Rhinolophus ferrumequinum: one gene and its partner. Each later gene encodes a partner of the first gene's protein in a complex. Links are inferred from orthologs where the notes say so. Each region holds a gene or a part of one and is shown in the gene's direction. Other genes may lie near its edges. The genes, in order: CAPN2 and CAPNS1.

Region 1 (8,980 bases):
AAGAGGAAAGCGTGCTTACCTGTACTGTTTCCTACCACAGGCACTGAGAATGGTGGGGGGGGGGTCCCTGAAGTGCCTTTAACAGACAGATGCCAGCTGCTGCCATGCCAGGGACAGCCCCAGGCACTCTCCCATACGCTGTGATTCATGCTGTGAACGACTCTGTGAGCTCTGCATAATAGGTATTATTTCCCCGTTTGAAGAGCTAGGACAACTGACGGTGAGTAATTTAAAAACTGCAAAGCACCCCACCAATACAAGATATAAGTGATCACTAGCACAGTTATGATCAGGGGAAACCTGCTATGAAAAGCCCTCCCGGAAATGGTATTTGGTGGGCAAAGGGTGGTAGCTCTGCCCCTTCCGGCCTCTTGGAGAGGACGGGACATAATATCCTGAGCTCCGCCCCACTCAGGAGAGGAGCAGAGGGCCCCAAAGGCTGTCTGGGCTTTTTGAAGCTTCCTTTCTGGAGTTTCCTCCCTCCTCGTACTTTTAGGGCCTCCCGTCTTTTGCAACACCAGGGACAAGCCCATCCGTCTCCTCTTCAGCCCTGGGATCCCCCAGGAAGCCCCTCCCAGCCACTCGTTCCCTCATCCAATAGGCCTCTCCCACCCCCATGCTACAATCACAAGGAAAACTGAGCCCTGGAACCGCTCCAAACGGAAGAAATCTCTAAAACAAAGCCACGCGTTGGAACACTGTGGAATTGATATTCTCTCTGGTCCCTCTGAAGTCAGATCACAGACCTGAACGAGGGAGGAGAAGAAAAACCTGGCTTTCCCTCAGCCTCAGCCCCAGTGACAAAGCAGGCCCCCAGCCACCCCCTTCACCCTCCTAAGCTGGGAAAAGAGACCCACAGGCTTGTGGTCTAGGGCGTGAGGGCCAGGTACGCTGCGACCCTTCACAGCCACGTGGCTGGGCCTCCGTTTTCTCATCTACAAATGGGGAAATAAGATCTCTTGTGACCAATGATGAGGATGATGAAATGTGCGTAAAGAGAGGAGCTCAGTGCCCGGACATGGGGGTGCTCCATTCTAAGGGTGGCTTCAAATAGCACCTCTAGAAGCTGAAGGTCGTGCCTCTGACACCTCACAAACATCCAGGGCCGTGGAGGTGGTGTGGCCTAGATGTTTTATTTTCTCTTCTTTTCACTTGGAAAAAACAATCAAGGAAAATGCTACAAAAAGAGATTGCCTTGTAGTGGTCCTCTGAGACACACATTCTCTCTCTCTCTCTCTCTCTCTCTCTCTCTCTCTCTCACACACACACACACACACCTGCTGGCACACTGGGCTCTGGCACACTGAGGCAGCTTTGGGTAATCTCAGCTGCTTCTGACTCACCCACTGCCCTCAGGGCTGGGGACTCACTCCAGGAAGGTTCCCCACCGTGAAGGGTGAGGCCCACGGTGTGTGTGTCTGTCTGCGCCCGCCTGTGTGCTAATGTGAAAGACATCGTGTGGTCAAAGAAAGATGAGATGTGGGACCCAGTGAGATAGCATTGTGTGAGAAGCTTTGAAAAGTATAAAGAACATGTTTAAGCAGGTTTAAAAACTGGCCCCTGTCCACTGGTGAGGGCAATAGTCATTGTGTGCGGCTGGAAGTAAATTTGAGTCGCTCAGGACAGCTATGGGCCTTTGAAAGCCTAATCCTGTGTGCACAGAAGGCTGGTGGGTCAGTGGCTACCGCCGCCTCGAAGAGGTGTTCCCTGGCCGGGGAGAGACAGTCCTGGGTGAGCCAGGAGGCTCTTGTGTCCCAGGGCTGCATGGAGTTCCTGATTGGCCTGTGACACTAGGGCTGGTATGCCCGGTCCTCTGTTGCTTAGAGGACTCTGGAGGGAAAGCCCAGACACCTGGGAGGAGGCACTTCCCCCCAGGGATGAATGTCTTCCAGGACATTGGCAGGAGAAGAAGTCTGAGTATTCCCAGCTGCTCTGCCATACGGGGCAGGTACACAAGCTTCCTCCCCAGAGCCCAGACCCTGGAAGAAATCCCGGTGGGCCCAAAGGAAATCGAAGAGTGAAACAAATCAACAGCTTCCAGGAAGGGCTGTCTCTTTCCTCTGTTTTCGATTCTGATGGTTTCATAAAACCTTTGCACCAGAAACCTTCAAGCTAGAAATGAATGCCTATGTACCCCATGTCATCTGAGGGTACAGAAAGCAGAGCCTGGTGGCCAGCAGTGACACCTCTCCATCAGGCAACGTGCAAACTGGAAGTGGAGGATGTCAAATAAAAACACAGCCAGACTTAGGCAGGGAAGACTTTAAGGAGAAAGAAAGACGACTGCAATAGGGAGAACTCTAGTTCTCCACAGAGAGACTTCTGCAGTCTGTTGATGCAAGAAACATGGAAACCTGTAGAGAATTTTTATAAGAGTTTATCTGAGCCAAAACTGACAACATAGGCCGAGGAGCAAGATCTCAAATGCTCTGGAGAATAACAGTTTGCAGCTTCTTTTATGTGTTTGAAATTAAGAAGGGAATATAAGGAAGATGACGTGCAGGTGGGAGAAAGCGAGGACAAGGCAGGGATTGGATCACAAGGTTATGTGCTTTCTTAAGGGCAATTATGACTTCAAAGGGTGTTATTTCTGGCATTTCAAAGTTAGGTGCTAATCTAGCTACACAACAATGAACAGGGCTTCCTTAAAACTTTTCACTAAGAAGGTATAGGCCTGGGGCCTGACTACCCACTGAGACCTGCCCAGTTAGGAATTTATGATTTATTACAGCACCCCTCTTTCCTCTCCAAGTCTCGGAAACAGGCAAGTGTCTCAAAATCAAACAGAAATTTTTTTTTTTAATGGGGTTAGCATCAAGGGCTCAATATTCTCACTTATGCAAACCAAGTGCCTCTATTTTCTTCAAACACTTCTCACCCTTTTTATTTATTTCTCCATCATCCGTTAAGAGCCTGTGATGTGCACGTGACATAACAAATGCTAAGGCACAGAGCCTGTCCACATAGCGTCTGCACACAGTAGGGTGTACAGATGTCGTATTATAAACTCGTACACCTGAAATTTATATAACGTTATTAACCAGTGTCACCCTAATACATTTAAAAATACTGTCTTAAAAGGGTAAAAGAAGGACTCTCATACAAATACAAAATGAACATAGGTCAAAGATTTTACTTAACTTATGAGTGGATTAGGCAACCAGTAGGCGTTTAAAAAAACAGTTCAAAGAATATAAACTTGTTAATAGATGCAAAACTGATTGCACTTCCACCTGAGGATATTGATGTGCATACACACGGACAAGAATTATTTGCATTACTCTCAATTTTCTACAGCTTACAGAGCTGTAAAATAGTCTGAAGACTGTAAAAGGTACAGACCACTACGGACATGATCCCCTGAAAGGAGTCACCCAGCATTCCACAGGACACCCAGGAATTTTTTTTTTTTTTTCAATTCCAAAGACTTTTTTCCTGACAGGTTGTTGTTTCACAGAAAAATCCTGAATATTCAAATCTCAAACTATCCTTCCAGACCAAGTTACATGCCACTTTCTTCACAGAGCATTATCTGGTCTTTCTCCCTTAGGCTCAAAGGTGATTTTGAGAAAAGGTAAAATCATGACTCTCATACAGATATAAAATTAATATGTTTTCAAGATTTCATTTAACTCATTAATTGAAGCAGGCAACTAGGCAGATGTTATCATTGGTTCAAAGGAGAAATCAAAGAAGCACACATTTACATGAGGTAAAGAACACTGAAATGGACTCGTCTGTTCGTCTGTCTTCTCCAATGGGGTGAGACGTCTCTCTGCTGGACAGAATTAATTGGCATGCTTACAGAAAAATTATTTTGCATTGCTACCATTATCTGCAACTTAGGGTTGTAAAATAACTCAAAAACAATGACAGGCTAGAATCAGATGGCCTGGAAAGAGGTGCTCTAAGCTAGGGGTTCTCAGCCTCAGCATTATGGATGTTTTGGACCAGATAATTCTTGTGGGGAGCTGTTCTGGGCATCATTATTAAGATGTTTAGCAGAATCCCTGGCTTCTACCCAAGAAAGGCCAGTAGCACAGCATCCCCCAGTCATGACAATAAAGTCTGCAGACCTTGCCAAATGTCCCCTGACGAAGGGTAAAGAGGACAAATTTGCTTCCAGTTAAAAACTGTAGTTTTCCATTGAAACACACATTCTTCTATGAGTGTAGGAAAGGAGAGGAGGAAACCATGCACTCCTAGGCACACACCCACTTCTCTGTGTGAGCTGAAACTCTCTTGCTACCTCTCAGCAGAGTGCTCACGGTGGCCTGAATACAGATAACTGGTCTACGCACTCTACCGATATTGACTCAATCCTCCCAGTTAAAAGTGAGTTTCAGATAAACAACTAATTTTCCAGTACAAGTATGGCCCCCTGCAGTATTTGAGACATATTTACTGAAGGGGTTCAGAACACGCCTCCCCAAGACGGGCCACTTTGGCATGTGGATTATTTTGAGCTGAAGACAACGGAGACCCTGGGGCTCACGAGAAACTTTGACCTCCCCCATAAAGAATTTAAGTTAGGGGCTTTGCTCGTCCTAAGAGATTATCAATCAACTTGTTTGACTTATCTGCAGGGCAGGGCAAACGTCTAATTACTGACCCTCTGCTTTTCCATCGCTCTGAGAATGACTCCCTCCCCTCTGACACCCCAGGCACCTGACTTCATCCTTAGCTCTGAATGCCATGTAAACCCATTTTACTTTTCTGACTCGGAACCTCTTGTGTATGTGGGGTGTCTGACTCCCTTATGTATGTGGGGTTTCCATATGTACGATTAGGTATGTAATTAAATTTGACTATTTTCTCTTGTTAATCTGTCTCATGTTGATGTAATTATTAGATCAGTGGAACAAAGGAAAGTTTCTTCTTCTCGCCACACTGACACTAAAAGAACTATTGGTGTCTGTTGAAATTCCAATTTAACTGCACGTGTTTTTATTTGCCACGTCTGTCACCCCTCTTTATGATCCAATAGCTGACCAGCAACAGTGTAGCATCCTGATTAGAACAGGCCTTGGTGACTTTGAGCCCTTGTTCTGCTTGAGACTAGTTGTGTGACATTGGGTAATGCCATTGAACCTCTCTGATGCTCAGTTTTTCCATCTGTAAAATGGGGACAACAGCAGAAGGACCATCTTCTTAGAGAGTTGCTGGGAGGATTAAATGAGATCACGCATACAGAGCTGTTAGGACACGAAGTCCAGACCCAAACGATGGCAGCTGATTTCCTCTCCTCGACCTCACTCCCTGATCTACTGACTCACAGGGTGTTTCCTGGCGAGTCACCACTGCCCCAGCCTGGGTTTCGCCCGTCCTCGATCCCCGATCCCCGGGAGGTGGGAAGTTGGCTATCAGTTTTGGCTAACTTTTGCACTCGGGAGCCGCTATGGCCAGGGCCAGCCGGCTGGGCCATCCCAGAGCCGTCCGCAGGTGGCAGCAGCGGCCTCGCGGTCCCTCCCGCGGGCGCTCTGCAGGCCGCGCACGGGCAGGCTGCGTCCCGGGCCCGGCGCCGAGCAGGCCGGGAGCGGCGAGGCCACACCCCGGCGGGCGGAGGGCGCTTCCCGGCTGGTGAATCATCGCTGGCAGCGGAGCCCGCAGTCCGGTTGCCGAGTGCCGGGCCCAGCCTCGCCCCTGCAGTGCGCAGTACCCGAGACCTGTACCTCGATCGCCGGTCAGCCGGGCACCATGGCGGGCATCGCGGCTAAACTGGCCAGGGACAGGGAGGCGGCCGAGGGACTGGGCTCGCACGAAAGGGCCATCAAGTACCTCAACCAGGATTACGAGACGCTGCGGGACCAGTGCCTGGAGGCCGGGACGCTCTTCCAGGACCCCTCGTTCCCCGCCATGCCGTCTTCCCTGGGCTTCAAGGAATTGGGACCCTACTCCAGCAAGACCCAGGGCATCCAGTGGAAGCGGCCCACGGTAGGAAGCGGTAGGAAGCGCGGCGGGATGCGAAGCAGGGCGGGTGGGGGCCCCGAGGCGTGGCCGCCCAGGGCTCCCGGCCAGGGAGGACCGGACAAGGGGTCCTGGAGAGCGAGCCCGCACCCGGCCGCCCCAGCCACAACCCTCAGCCGCGCGATCGCGCCCAACCCCAGGCCTGGCCCGTTACCCGGTGCATGGCAGGCGCGCGGGTACGCTCCCGGGTGGACTGCGTCCACAGAGGGCGCCTGTTCCCTCTTCCATCCACGGCACTTCGCTGGACACTGCCCTCAAAACCCACTAGCAGTCCCGCCAGGGTAACCCCCTGTAAAGTTCACAAAAACTGCGGTGACATACGGGGGCCTGGGGAACAGTTTTTGCTGGACTCCATTGTAGAGATGGAGGAAGGTGGGGGAGGAGGGTCTTCAGGAAAGGAGAGTGGGAGGCAACGTGGGTCCAGGAAAAGTCAGTCTGGACTTCAGAGAGGGGAAGTCCACAGACTGGTCATTTGGTGACCAAGGATGGTCTTATGCAGTCCTGGTTAGAGTTAAGGCGAGTTTCTTGTTTATTTTAAGAAAGGGGAGCTCAGAAGACCTCCCGGTACCATTCACACTGGTGATCAAGGACAGGGGAGATACATACAGCGAAAGACCAGTCCCTCATCATTGCGCTGGCCCAGAATCCTCCCCGGGACCTCAGCTCCCTCCTCGCTGCCGGGTCCCACCCCCGCTCTGTCCGCTTGCCCTGGCAGGTCTTGGGACAGCTCCTTCCCTAACCTGGTTGGCCATCCCTTTCCCATGGAGCCCCTGCTGGCTCCACCTCCTGTGGGACACCTCACCAGACCTTCCCTCCCAAACCTGAACATGGCTTCCTGGGGAATCCAACCTCTAGATGCTGTTGTGAATAAACATTCCTGACCTGCTTGCAGTCCTGCGAGCCTCCCCAGCCACCTTCTCTGTTACCCCAAGCCCCGCGCATAAACAGCAGGTGCAATAGCAAGTACCACTGGCCAGGACTTGAGCACTGGAGTTCATTTCGTGCAGACCTACTGGGTGACCCTCCCTGAGCCATTAACCTCTTTGCTTCCATGTCTTCATCTAAAAGAAGAAGTGATGCCTAAGTATGTTCCTCTTTTCACTGGCTCTCGAGGCTCAGCCACCTTCAGTTTCTCCAAGGTACCATTCTTTCTTTCCTGCCTTCTCACCTGCCAGGGTCGTTCTTTCCTGGTTTTCTGGAATCTGGTTAACTCTCATTCTTTGGGATTTAGTCAAACGTCCCTTTCCCAAAGCTACCTCTCCTGACCATTCTCAGCAGGCCCCTCCCCCCCATCTTGTTATTCTTTATGAACCCTGCTAATTTCCTTCACAGCATTTTCACAGTTTCTAACTTTTCACCATTACCTAGATTTGTTTGTCCTTCTGAACGGCGGGGAGCAGGTGTGTATTATCCACCCATATATCGTCTGGCAGCGTTAGTGCCTTTCACAGAATGCATTCATGCATGCATGCATTCATTCATTCAACAATATTTATTGAGGGCCGAGTATATGCCAGGCACTGTCTTAGATGCAGGGGGGATACATGCATGTGTGAATAAAGAGACTGACGATTTGTGGAACGAGTGAATGAATGAATGCAGTACTGCAATGAGCCTCAAATAGTTGTGAAAGTGATACACAAGAGAATGTACTCACCCTACATTTGCATAGCACTTTACGGTTTACAAAGTGAATTTACATACTCATTGACTTATTCTTTCATTCATTCAATGAGCGTATATCGAACACCTAGTATATGCCAGTCCCAGCGCATACAGTTTCTGCCTCTAAACTATTAAAAACTGTATGTAAACTCCATGCGCTGCCTTCTCGCGATGCATGTAGTTTCACTAGGGGCTGGTGAAGGGAGACAGACAGGTCACCCAATAGTTGGAAATGCCTCAGGACAATAGAGGGGGAGAGAGTTCTGGAGCCATTTCACTGTGGGGAAGGTCATGCACTACACAACCAGCGGGGGTGTCTATTATATTCCCATTCAGCAGGTGAAGAAATTGAGGCTTGGGGTGATTAAATATTTGCTCAAACAGATGTCCAGGGTGGAGCCAGGACTGTGCCCAGCCTATGGGCGTTTAGAGCCCACAGCCCACGACGGCCCTCTCTGCCTCCGTCCTGCCTTCTAAACACCGCTGTGGTTGGGGTCAGGCCAGGGGAACAAAAATGTGTCCCCTGGATTCAAACATGAGCAAATCAATGGCGACTTTAACAGAGCGGTTGCAGGGGGATAGGATTTCAGTGGGGTAGAAGCCAGATGTCTGTAGACTCCAGAGTAAGGAACTGGCAATGAAGGGTATGGTCAAGTCGTTTCAGAAGGGAGCCTTGTGGAAAGAGAGGAAATATGGGAGGTAGAGTGGGCTTTGCGAGGCTGTTGTTTCAGATGACAGTGTGTCGTATGTTGAGTCACTGGAAAGGAAGGGACTAACGATAAAGGCTGGGAGGAGGTAATGGAACAGGGTGCCTGAGGAAATGAGAGTAGAGGAGGCGGAAGGGCAGGAGAGCCGGCCAGCCTTGGATCGGGAGGGACGGCCCCTCCTCAGAGAGGGGGTTTTCCGACACTGGTCACAGAAGGCTCCAGGGGTGGGAAGGGGACTGAAGGGGAAATGGCTAACGTCACTGGTGCAGGGCGTGAGGAGAAAGCCAGCGCGACCCAAGGATGGCACCAGTCAAGTCCAAGCAAGGACAAGTGCTGTGAGTCCTGAGATAACCAAGCCTCAGAGAGCTTTCTGACTGGCGTGTCCTCAGCTGGCTGAACTCAGTCTCAAGCCTGCATCCATCTCCTGCCTCCAAGTTCAGTGATGATTGTCATCGACTTCTTATAAAACAGTAATAATAGGAATGATAATAAAAATCATGAGTAACTTTTATAGTGTTTACCAAAGCACATTTACTTAGTTATCTCATTCAGCCCTCTGTGGTAGGTACTGTTGTCATCACCATCCCCATTTTACAGATGAGGAAAGTGAGGCCGAAACAGAACTTGCAGGGTCATCGAAC
Region 2 (8,585 bases), on another chromosome or scaffold:
TGTGTGTGTGTGTGTGTGTGTGTGTGTGTATGTGCTGAGAGGTGGTGTTGGAGAATTACACATGAAAAGCTAAAGGTTTTCACCAGCAAATATTGAATGACCTCTGTATGGGGAAAGACTTTTTGAACTTCAGTGTAGTGGGGGAACAAACCACCAAGGAAAAGACGGATGAATTTGGCTGTACAAAACTCAGAATAGGGGAAGAGGCGAGACATAAGGCCTCTTGAGACCTAGGCTGGGAAATATTAAACTGTCCTTCCACCTCATTCTATTGGTTAACGACAAGGCCAGTCAAGCTTCAAGCTTCAAAGGGCTGGGGGATAGACTCCTTGATGTAAGAAGCTGCAAAGTCAGATTGTACAGGGTAAGGATACAGGGAGGGGTGGAAAATTAGGCAATTTTTGTAATCAGTCTACCACAGAGCTCTTTCTTCATGGAATGTATTAGTTAAAATAAATAATGCTAGCTGCTTTTAACTGAAGAAACTTTAGAACTCAGTGGCTTAATAAGTCTATATTTTAATTCACACTACAGTCCAATGTAAGTCAGTGGGGTCACTCTGCTCCACAGAGTCTAGCAGAGACCCAGGCTCCTTCCATGTTGTGGCTCTGCCCACCTCTAGGTCCTCAGAGTCCCCTCTGTTGAGCCCATGGATGTTGAAAAAAGTGAAGACCACTTGTGGGAGGTTTTTAAGGTCAAGCCTGGAGACTGGATATGACACATCAGCTCACATGCCGTTGGCCTTAAGTCGGTTACATATCCATACAAAATTGCAATAGATGACGGGAAATGTAATTCTTGTGTGGAAGAAAAAAGGGGAGCAGTTTTAGTCAAGCAATTAGCCAATCTCTGCCACATATTTTGGGACATGCTTTATCTGAAAATAGAGAAGGGTTACATTGTTTATTTATTTCCTTGTTTATTGTGTGTCTTCCTCTGCTAGGACATAAGCCCCGGGAGTTTTGTTCACCACTACATCCCCATCACACATCTGGGCGCCTGGATTTAGTAGGCACTCAATAAATGTGTGTTGAATGAATGAATGAATGAATGAAAAAAATTCTAGTAACTTTCAGAGGATGGAATATTATGAAAACACAAAAAATTATATTTTTAGGGACATGGGAAATTGCTCTCAGGGTGTATACGAGTATAATAAATCTCTTTCTTTCTCTCCCTATGGCCTGTTAGTTCTTTCTCTGGAGAACCCTGACTAATACACCATTGAAGGGAGGGCAGAGGAGGTACAGTAATCTGGAATAGTCATCACATAACTATTTGGCATCAACCATGCTTGGGTTTAGACCTGGCTCTGCCATGCCGCAGGCAAATGACTCCACCTCTCTGAACCTCCACTTCCTCTCATGTTAGTTCCTTTTTCAGAAGGTTGTGAGAGGCCTTCCAAGACGTACCTGTAAATTACTTATTCTAATCTGGTCCCATCAAGCCCTCAGGAGGCATTAGTTAGGACAGTCATGACTATTGTGAGTTTCCTACTTGGTAGCATTGTAACATTAATATAATTGAGGCAGCAAATTGTGAGGATTAAAAGCATGAGCTACAAAGCCAGCTTTCCTGGGTCTGAATCTTGACTCTAGTATTTATTAGCTGTGTAATCTTGGACAAGTAATTCCATTTTTCTGGTTTCCTCATGGACATCATAACAACATCTACTTGCAACAGTCAGAATAGGCTAGGTTACACTGTGGTAACAAATGAGCCCTAGATCTTAGTGGACTAACACCTCAAAATTTATTTCTTGCTCACAGAAACAGGCACAAGTCCTCCATGCCATGGCTCCGTGATCCGGGTAGCTTCCTTTGTGCAGCAGCTCTGTGTTTGCATAGCTCTCCCAAGGTTGCCTAGGAAGGAGGTAAGAGCCCGGAGCATCCTGCACTGGCTTTAAATGCTACACTGGGAAGTGACACTTCCAACATTTCCACTCACATTTCATTGGTCAAAACAAGTCACATAACCATGCCTGAGTTTAAAGGAGTCCGGAAGATGGTGGAAGACTTTAGTAATGCTTGCTGTACTATCTCATTGACGGTGCTGAAAATTCAATGAGAAAATCCACACAAAGTATTTCATACATTCAACAAATACCTATGTACCTAAGATGTTCTGGGCACTGTTCTGGGAACTGGGTACATAGCTGTGAACAAGACATACAGAAATCCCTGCCCTTGAAGAGCTCACATTCTAGTGGGGGAGAGAGACAAGAAACTAGGTAAATAAGTAAACCACTCAGTACGTTAGCAGGTGATAAAGAGCAGTGTGGAGTGGGATAGGGAGTGTGGGGCTTCCTGAGGTCACTAGATGTGCATACTTGAGGCACTGAGGTGGGGCTAGAGAGGGCCTTGGTAATGGAGTAGCGGCCCCCTGCTTAGACATTGATGTGCTGGCAGAGCCTCCTCCTCTGTGTCTTGTCCGTGTTCAGCTGGGAACATCCAGGTCAAGCTGCCAGTAGGGCTTCTTCCCACTTTCTTAAGAGGGAGGAGATGAGGGCAGAGAGGAGACAGAACAGAGCACTAGAGACTTGGTGCCCATGGTGAGGCCTTTGACTCTTATCTGGAGTGAGGTGCAGTCTAGGAAGGGCTATGAGCCAGGTGGGCCCTGACCTGACACGGGTTCACATGCTCCCTTTGGTTGCCTGTGGGGAGCAGACTGTGGGGACAGGGATGTGAGCAGGAGACTGGGGAGGAGGTGCCCGTGAGGTCCAGGAGGCAGAGGATGGAGGTGGGGGTTGGGGAGGAGTGGAGGAGGAGAAGAGTTTAGATTATGTAGGTAGAGTCGAAGAGGTTTGCTGATGGGTTGGAGTGGGTGTGAAAGAGGTCAAGGATGACCCTGGGGTGTTTGGTCTCAGCCACTGGAAGGACAGAGATGCCATTAACCTAGGTGGGGAAGGTGGGGAGGAAGCAGGTTTGGGAGGAAGGTCAGGAGCTGTTTAGGATGTGTGAAACCTGAGGCACCTCTAAGACCCCTATACAGACGGTGAGTAGGATGCAAGATATAGGAGGTTGGAGACGCCTGGGCTGAAGATAGAAATTTGGGTATTGATAGCCTAGGGATGGAATTTAAGCTACGCATGTGAGGGAGATCCTCTATGGCTTCAGTGGGTTAGAGAGGTGGACCAAGGCCTAAGACCTGGAGTTGGCCAGGGTTAAAGGTCGGGGACACAGACCTGGACCACAATATGATTGTAATTGGCAGTGAGTGCTAAGAGAAAGAACAAGTTACAAGCATGTAACTGGACGCCACACCTACTCTCAGATGGGGGTGGAGACAGGGAGGGCTTCCCAGGAGAGGTAACACCTCAGCTGACACCCAAAGCCTGAGGAGATACAAAACCAGGTGAAAAAGGGAGAAAGTGTTCCAGGTAGATGGCACAGTCCATATTGAAGGCCTGGCAGCAAGTGAGCCCTGGAGAGGGCAGAGAACAGAAGCTGCTCAGTCTGGCAGGGAAGGGTGTGGTGAGACGGGAATCTGGATTAGTCATCACCAAGAGTTTTGGCATGAGCCAAGCCTAGCTTCAGACCTGGTCATGACACCCTCTGTGACCTCAGGCAAGTGACCCTGCCTTCAGAGCCTCCATTTTCTCTCCTATTAGTTCCTGCCTCATAGACAAGGCTTGTGTAGGAGTTCCTTGACCTGGCCCCAGCAAGCCCTCAGGAAGTATTAGCTGTTGACTGTGGGTTTTGTCTATTTTGATCTTATCTGAGCTATTTTCATATTAATTATATTATTGAAGAATCAGTTCATTAGGGTAGTGGTTACCAGTACGAGCTAGGGAGTTTAACTTCAGAGGTAGTTTACTTATTTGTAAAATGGAGAGTGTGTAGCATCCATCCCATAAAAGTTATGAGGATATATGAGCTGATACATGTAAAGTGGTTAGGAGAGTGCGTGGCAGTTATTTTTATCAGTATTATCTAAGGATGAGCAAGAGTCAACCAACTGAGGAATCCAGGTGAGCAGGAGGGAAGAGCGTGGTTACAGACACAGGATAAGAGCTACTATTTACTAAGCTTTAATCACTTAATTATGATAGGGGCCTTGTGAGGGGGCCATGGGAAAACTTGTTCCCATTTTACAGATTAGAAGATCTTTGCGTAGAGACTTCAAATCACTTTTTCGTATTTCAGTTATTAGGGAGCAGAAGCAGGATTCAAACAAGCCTAGCCAGCCTCCAGGGGAGAGGCTAATGGCCAGATGGCCAGACTGCCCAGTAGCTAGATTTAGCTCCTTCTGAAGAGCCCTGAAAAAGTACTGGATGTGCACAGGTTGGAGTCTGGAACCGGAGAGCAACAGAAAGGATTCTAAAGGCAGGTTGAGTTACCACTTTCCCTACGTTTCTTCATTTCGCGCCCATCACCCGACTTTGGGAAGGGTAGCCTGGGACACCAGGTCTTGGCCGACACTCTTCCTATGTCCGGGCTCCACTTTAGAGACTGAGGTGACACTTTGGGCCTCTTCAGGAAAAATTATTCTGGTGACCCTGACTTGGGGGTGAAGGAATGCGGGTGGAGGGCACAAGGCCGCTTTCTTAGGCGGCGAAGTCCTACCCGCAGTCTGACTACCATCCTGGCTACTACAAGGTCCGGGAAAAGCTAGTCTACCCTTAGTCATTGCCAGATGCGGATGCTTGTTCCCGGACTGTGAGCCAAATAAAACTCGGGGTCTTAGGATGTTGTCTGTCGCAACAAGGCCAGGATAGGGGCCGGGTGCCAAGAGTCCCGTTTCGAGCCGACAGAAAATCACATCTGTAGCCGGGTGGAGGCCGGCTTCGGGGCGACCATTCCCATTACAACCTGCGGTGTCACTCTGGAGTTCTCGTCCCCGGGTGTCTTCACCGGGCTGGCGAGATGTAGGGACAACCTCAGACCTATGAAGTCACGGCCGGGATACAGCCCGCGGCGCCGGAAGAATGCTGGGCTGGGCCCGGGCGGTCTCATCCCGTTAGCAAGGCCGGGCCCGCGCGCGCAGGCGCAGTTTCAAGGACCGCGCTAGGACCGCGCGGATGCTGTCTGGGCGGCCCCCGAGAGCCTAACCCGGTCAAAGTCGCCTGAGTCACGGGCCCCGCCCTACCAAGCCGGACACAGCCAGAGGCCCGGGAGCAGCGCAGAGGAGCGGACCAGCGGACGTGTAAGACAGGCGGTGAGCGCCCGGGCCAGACCCCCCTGTACTCCGTAATCCCGGCCTTTACGGCTCCCAGACCCTACAAGACCCTAAAGTCCCGGCTAGATCCGTGCTCCCAGTTCTAATGGAGAACCCCGTTATCCCGGGCCCGGGGCTTACACCCACCATCTTGGACCGGAGCCCACAGACCCGGCGGTGACACTGTAATCCCGCTGCTGGGAGTACCTAAACCTTCAAACCCACATCCTGGATTTCCCAAACCTTGTCCCGGGGGCCTCCAGGCCGAGAATCTGATCCACGCCCCTGAACCGCCCAAGACCCTTAGTTCAGTTCTTGGGCTCTGGGACTCAGATTTGGGCGTCCAGACACGTCCAGGATGCCTTATACCAACTTGGGACCCCCGAGAACCCAACCAGACCTGGACCCCTACCCTTAATGATGCCTATGTGTAGACTCAATCCAGGCCTCTCAAGTCTGACCGGGACCCTTTCAGTCTGGAGGAGGTTTCATACTTGATCCTCTGTCCCTATCGCACCCACCCGAGAACTGCTCTCCTTCAGAAGCCCAGACCCCATCCCGAATGGACTCTTCAAGCCCCAGCCGGAAGATTGGTCCTCCCCTAGAGGCCTCATATTACTGCCTACGTCCAGCTGCCAGAAATGCGTATTTTTGTGGGGAGGGGGCGGGCTCTGGGCGAGGAGGCCAGCTGACCCCTTTTTCCTCCTTAGGAACTTTGAGTCGTAGCCATGTTCCTGGTTAACTCGTTCTTGAAAGGCGGCGGTGGAGGGGGAGGCGGAGGCCTGGGCGGGGGCCTGGGGAATGTACTCGGAGGCCTGATCAGCGGGGCCGGAGGCGGCGGCGGAGGCGGTGGCGGCGGCGGCGGCGGCGGCATCGGCGGCATCGGCGGCGGCGGCGGCGGTGGTGGAACTGCCATGCGCATCCTGGGCGGGGTCATTAGCGCCATCAGGTAGGGCGGGGCCTGAGGGGGCGGGGTCTGGCGGAGGAGGCTTGTCCGGGAAGAATAGAATGGGGTAACCTGGAGATTGACCTGGAGCCTTAATTAGGCTGGGCGGGACCTGGGCTGGGAGGCCAGCCTTGAGGGGGCGGGCCCTAATGAGGCTGACCGCAGTTTATGAGGGCGGGGCTTGACATGATTTTTAGGGAGACGCGATTGACTGTTGATGGGTCCCGGCAGGGGTTTAGGAGGTGGGGCTTAGGGAGGCTGGATATCGCCTGCTTCCGCTAATCTGGAAACGAACGTTAAGGGGGCGGAGCCAGTGAGGCTGGGTGTCACTTCGTGGGGGCAAGGCTTGTCAAGTGGGCTTGGTGTGGACTTTTAAGTGGATAAATGAGAAGTTGCGCCCTGAAGAGGCCGAGGCCTACTGAGATAGGAGAAACGGTTTTGAAGGGGCACGGCATTACCGGAAACTGGCTGGATTAAAATAGAAAAATGTCGTAGTGGAAGTAGGGCAGGTTGTCTAATTCGCCTAATTAGGGACCTAATTAGTCTTGGCCACTGAGCAGTGATCCCTCGAAGGGGCAGGAAATAATGGGGCTGGGGTGGGATGTTGGGAAGACACAAGCATTCAGGAAGCCCTAGGGATGGAGTAGGTTCCTAGACAGACATGGAACCTGAGGAGGGCGGGGCCCCGCGAAGCTGGGGCAGCTTTTATAGAGTACGCCCTTCAGGGGGCTGGGTCTATTGAGGAATCTTGGTAGGAGTGGAGCCCACCGTAGGGGGCTGAGCCTGTTAGTTTCCTCGCAGGTGCAATCAGGGCAGCAAGGATAGGGACACGTGAGGACAAGGACAGATAAGGCAGGCCAAGGGTGGCAGGCTGGGGTTTGGGGAGGTTGAGGTGTGGGGGCTGGCGCTGCCAGTTGGACGCCCCGCCCCCTGGCGCTAATTCCCGTTTCCCTCCAGCGAGGCGGCTGCGCAGTACAACCCAGAGCCCCCGGTAAGCCGACCTCCACAACTGATGACTTCTCACTAAGAGGCCTTTTCCAGCATCCCTCCATGTCCCTTTAGAAAAGCCCCTCTCCCTCTTATGATATCCCTCTTACTAAGTCTCTCCCTTTCCATGTCCTCAAACTTAGCTATTACCTACTCCCTGTTCACTGACCACCTCTCATTCCTTTGATCACTCAGCTACACTGCCCACTCTGACTTTCCCACCTAGGCCTGTACTGCCCCTCCCCTTACTTGCTCTGAGATCTTCTCCCTCTGTAGCCCCCACGAACCCATTACTCCAATGTCGAGGCCAATGAGAGTGAGGAAGTCCGGCAGTTCCGGAGGCTATTTGCCCAGCTGGCTGGAGAGGTAAGTAACCCGGGGTCCCCAGACCTGTCCTAACCCTTCCATGCCTTCCCTTGGATGGCCCTTGCACATACACACTCAACCATGGCAATCCAAAAGTTCCTATCCTCCTTCATGACACTCCTAGACCCCTTTCAGTCACCCCTGATCTACCCCTAATTTCTCCCTGCAGGACATGGAGGTCAGCGCCACAGAACTCATGAACATTCTCAACAAGGTCGTGACCCGACGTGAGTGACTAGGGTCAACCCATAGGGCAGGTTTAGAGGCATGGCAGCTGGGGTAGCTGTGACCTCTGGCCTCTGTCAACCTGTCCCCTACAGACCCAGATCTGAAGACTGATGGTTTTGGCATTGACACATGTCGCAGCATGGTGGCCGTGATGGATGTATCCTTAAGGGCAGTATGGGAGAGGCCTTGTGTGAAGAGGGAGTTTTCTGCGAGCATGAGTGGGAGCCAGGATGTAGCTTTCATAAAAAGTGGAAGGATAGGAATTTGGATTCAGGTCTTCGGGGCTTAAGAACCCAAGCTTATTATAACTGCCATAGGTATGTGCACATGCGTATGTGTGCCAGGGTACACCCATATGCGTGAAGATATATGCACAGGAAAATATGTCTATTTGCACATGGGCCAGTCATTAGCTAATCTTGGATACATGCGCACTGAGCACATAAGGCAGTGCAGACATACGTACATATATTCATGTCATGTGATCACGTACGTGTGCGGCATAGTTAAATAATGGCTCTGCCCCTTAGCAAGGTTACTGAGCCTCTCTGTGCTTCAATTTGCCTATCTGTATAATGGGGTGAGTGATAATGTGTTAGATGTTACTATGATCTTACACAAGTAGACTCTTCAGCTCTGAATGTTTCTGTCTCTGACTGGAGAATAATATTGGTGGGGCTGGTGTCTTGAGGACTTAGTGAGAAAAGTTACGTTCTTGAGAAGCTTAGTATTCTCTGGTGTGTACTACGTAATCTGTTAAGTCTTGGCCACTGTTGTTGTTGATTGAGAACTAATCAAATGCCAGCCCCTGAGCTAAGGGCTTTCTGCCAATATCTCATTCTGCTCTGATCACAAACCCAGTAGGTATTCACTACCGTCACCTCATTTCCTTAGAGCTCTG

The links.
Region 2: the proteins of CAPN2 (region 1) and CAPNS1 are in contact, whole or in part, in a crystal structure (PDB 1KFU), measured with the Homo sapiens proteins. The link is inferred for Rhinolophus ferrumequinum from reciprocal best matches to the Homo sapiens genes CAPN2 and CAPNS1. Residues at the interface, in NP_001739.3 of Homo sapiens: Ala2, Gly3, Ile4, Ala5, Lys7, Leu8, Ala9, Arg12, Glu13, Glu16, Phe60, Arg366, Arg416, Arg417, Arg418, Arg420, Asp494, Ile516, Phe551, Glu575, Lys578, Val581, Asp582, Asp585, Gly588, Ser589, Gly590, Gln641, Leu642, Gln644; in NP_001003962.1 of Homo sapiens: Thr85, His86, Ser88, Asp111, Asp112, Met113, Glu114, Ser116, Thr118, Asp142, Arg145, Ser146, Ala149, Val150, Met151, Asp152, Ser153, Asp154, Thr155, Thr156, Gly157, Gly160, Phe161, Glu163, Asn206, His208, Leu209, Met212, Ile213, Arg215.

What each region holds. Positions count from the first base shown.
Region 1 is NC_046310.1:12,886,345-12,895,324, forward strand, and holds the start of CAPN2 (calpain-2 catalytic subunit), read left to right. Parts: upstream 1-5,465; 5' UTR 5,466-5,697; coding exon 5,698-5,934; intron 5,935-8,980. UniProt on the Homo sapiens protein: Calcium-regulated non-lysosomal thiol-protease which catalyzes limited proteolysis of substrates involved in cytoskeletal remodeling and signal transduction. Proteolytically cleaves MYOC at 'Arg-226'.
Region 2 is NC_046298.1:36,386,902-36,395,486, forward strand, and holds the start of CAPNS1 (calpain small subunit 1), read left to right. Parts: upstream 1-5,053; 5' UTR 5,054-5,157; intron 5,158-5,867; 5' UTR 5,868-5,885; coding exon 5,886-6,106; intron 6,107-7,060; coding exon 7,061-7,094; intron 7,095-7,366; coding exon 7,367-7,456; intron 7,457-7,625; coding exon 7,626-7,683; intron 7,684-7,776; coding exon 7,777-7,841; intron 7,842-8,585. UniProt on the Homo sapiens protein: Regulatory subunit of the calcium-regulated non-lysosomal thiol-protease which catalyzes limited proteolysis of substrates involved in cytoskeletal remodeling and signal transduction. Essential for embryonic development.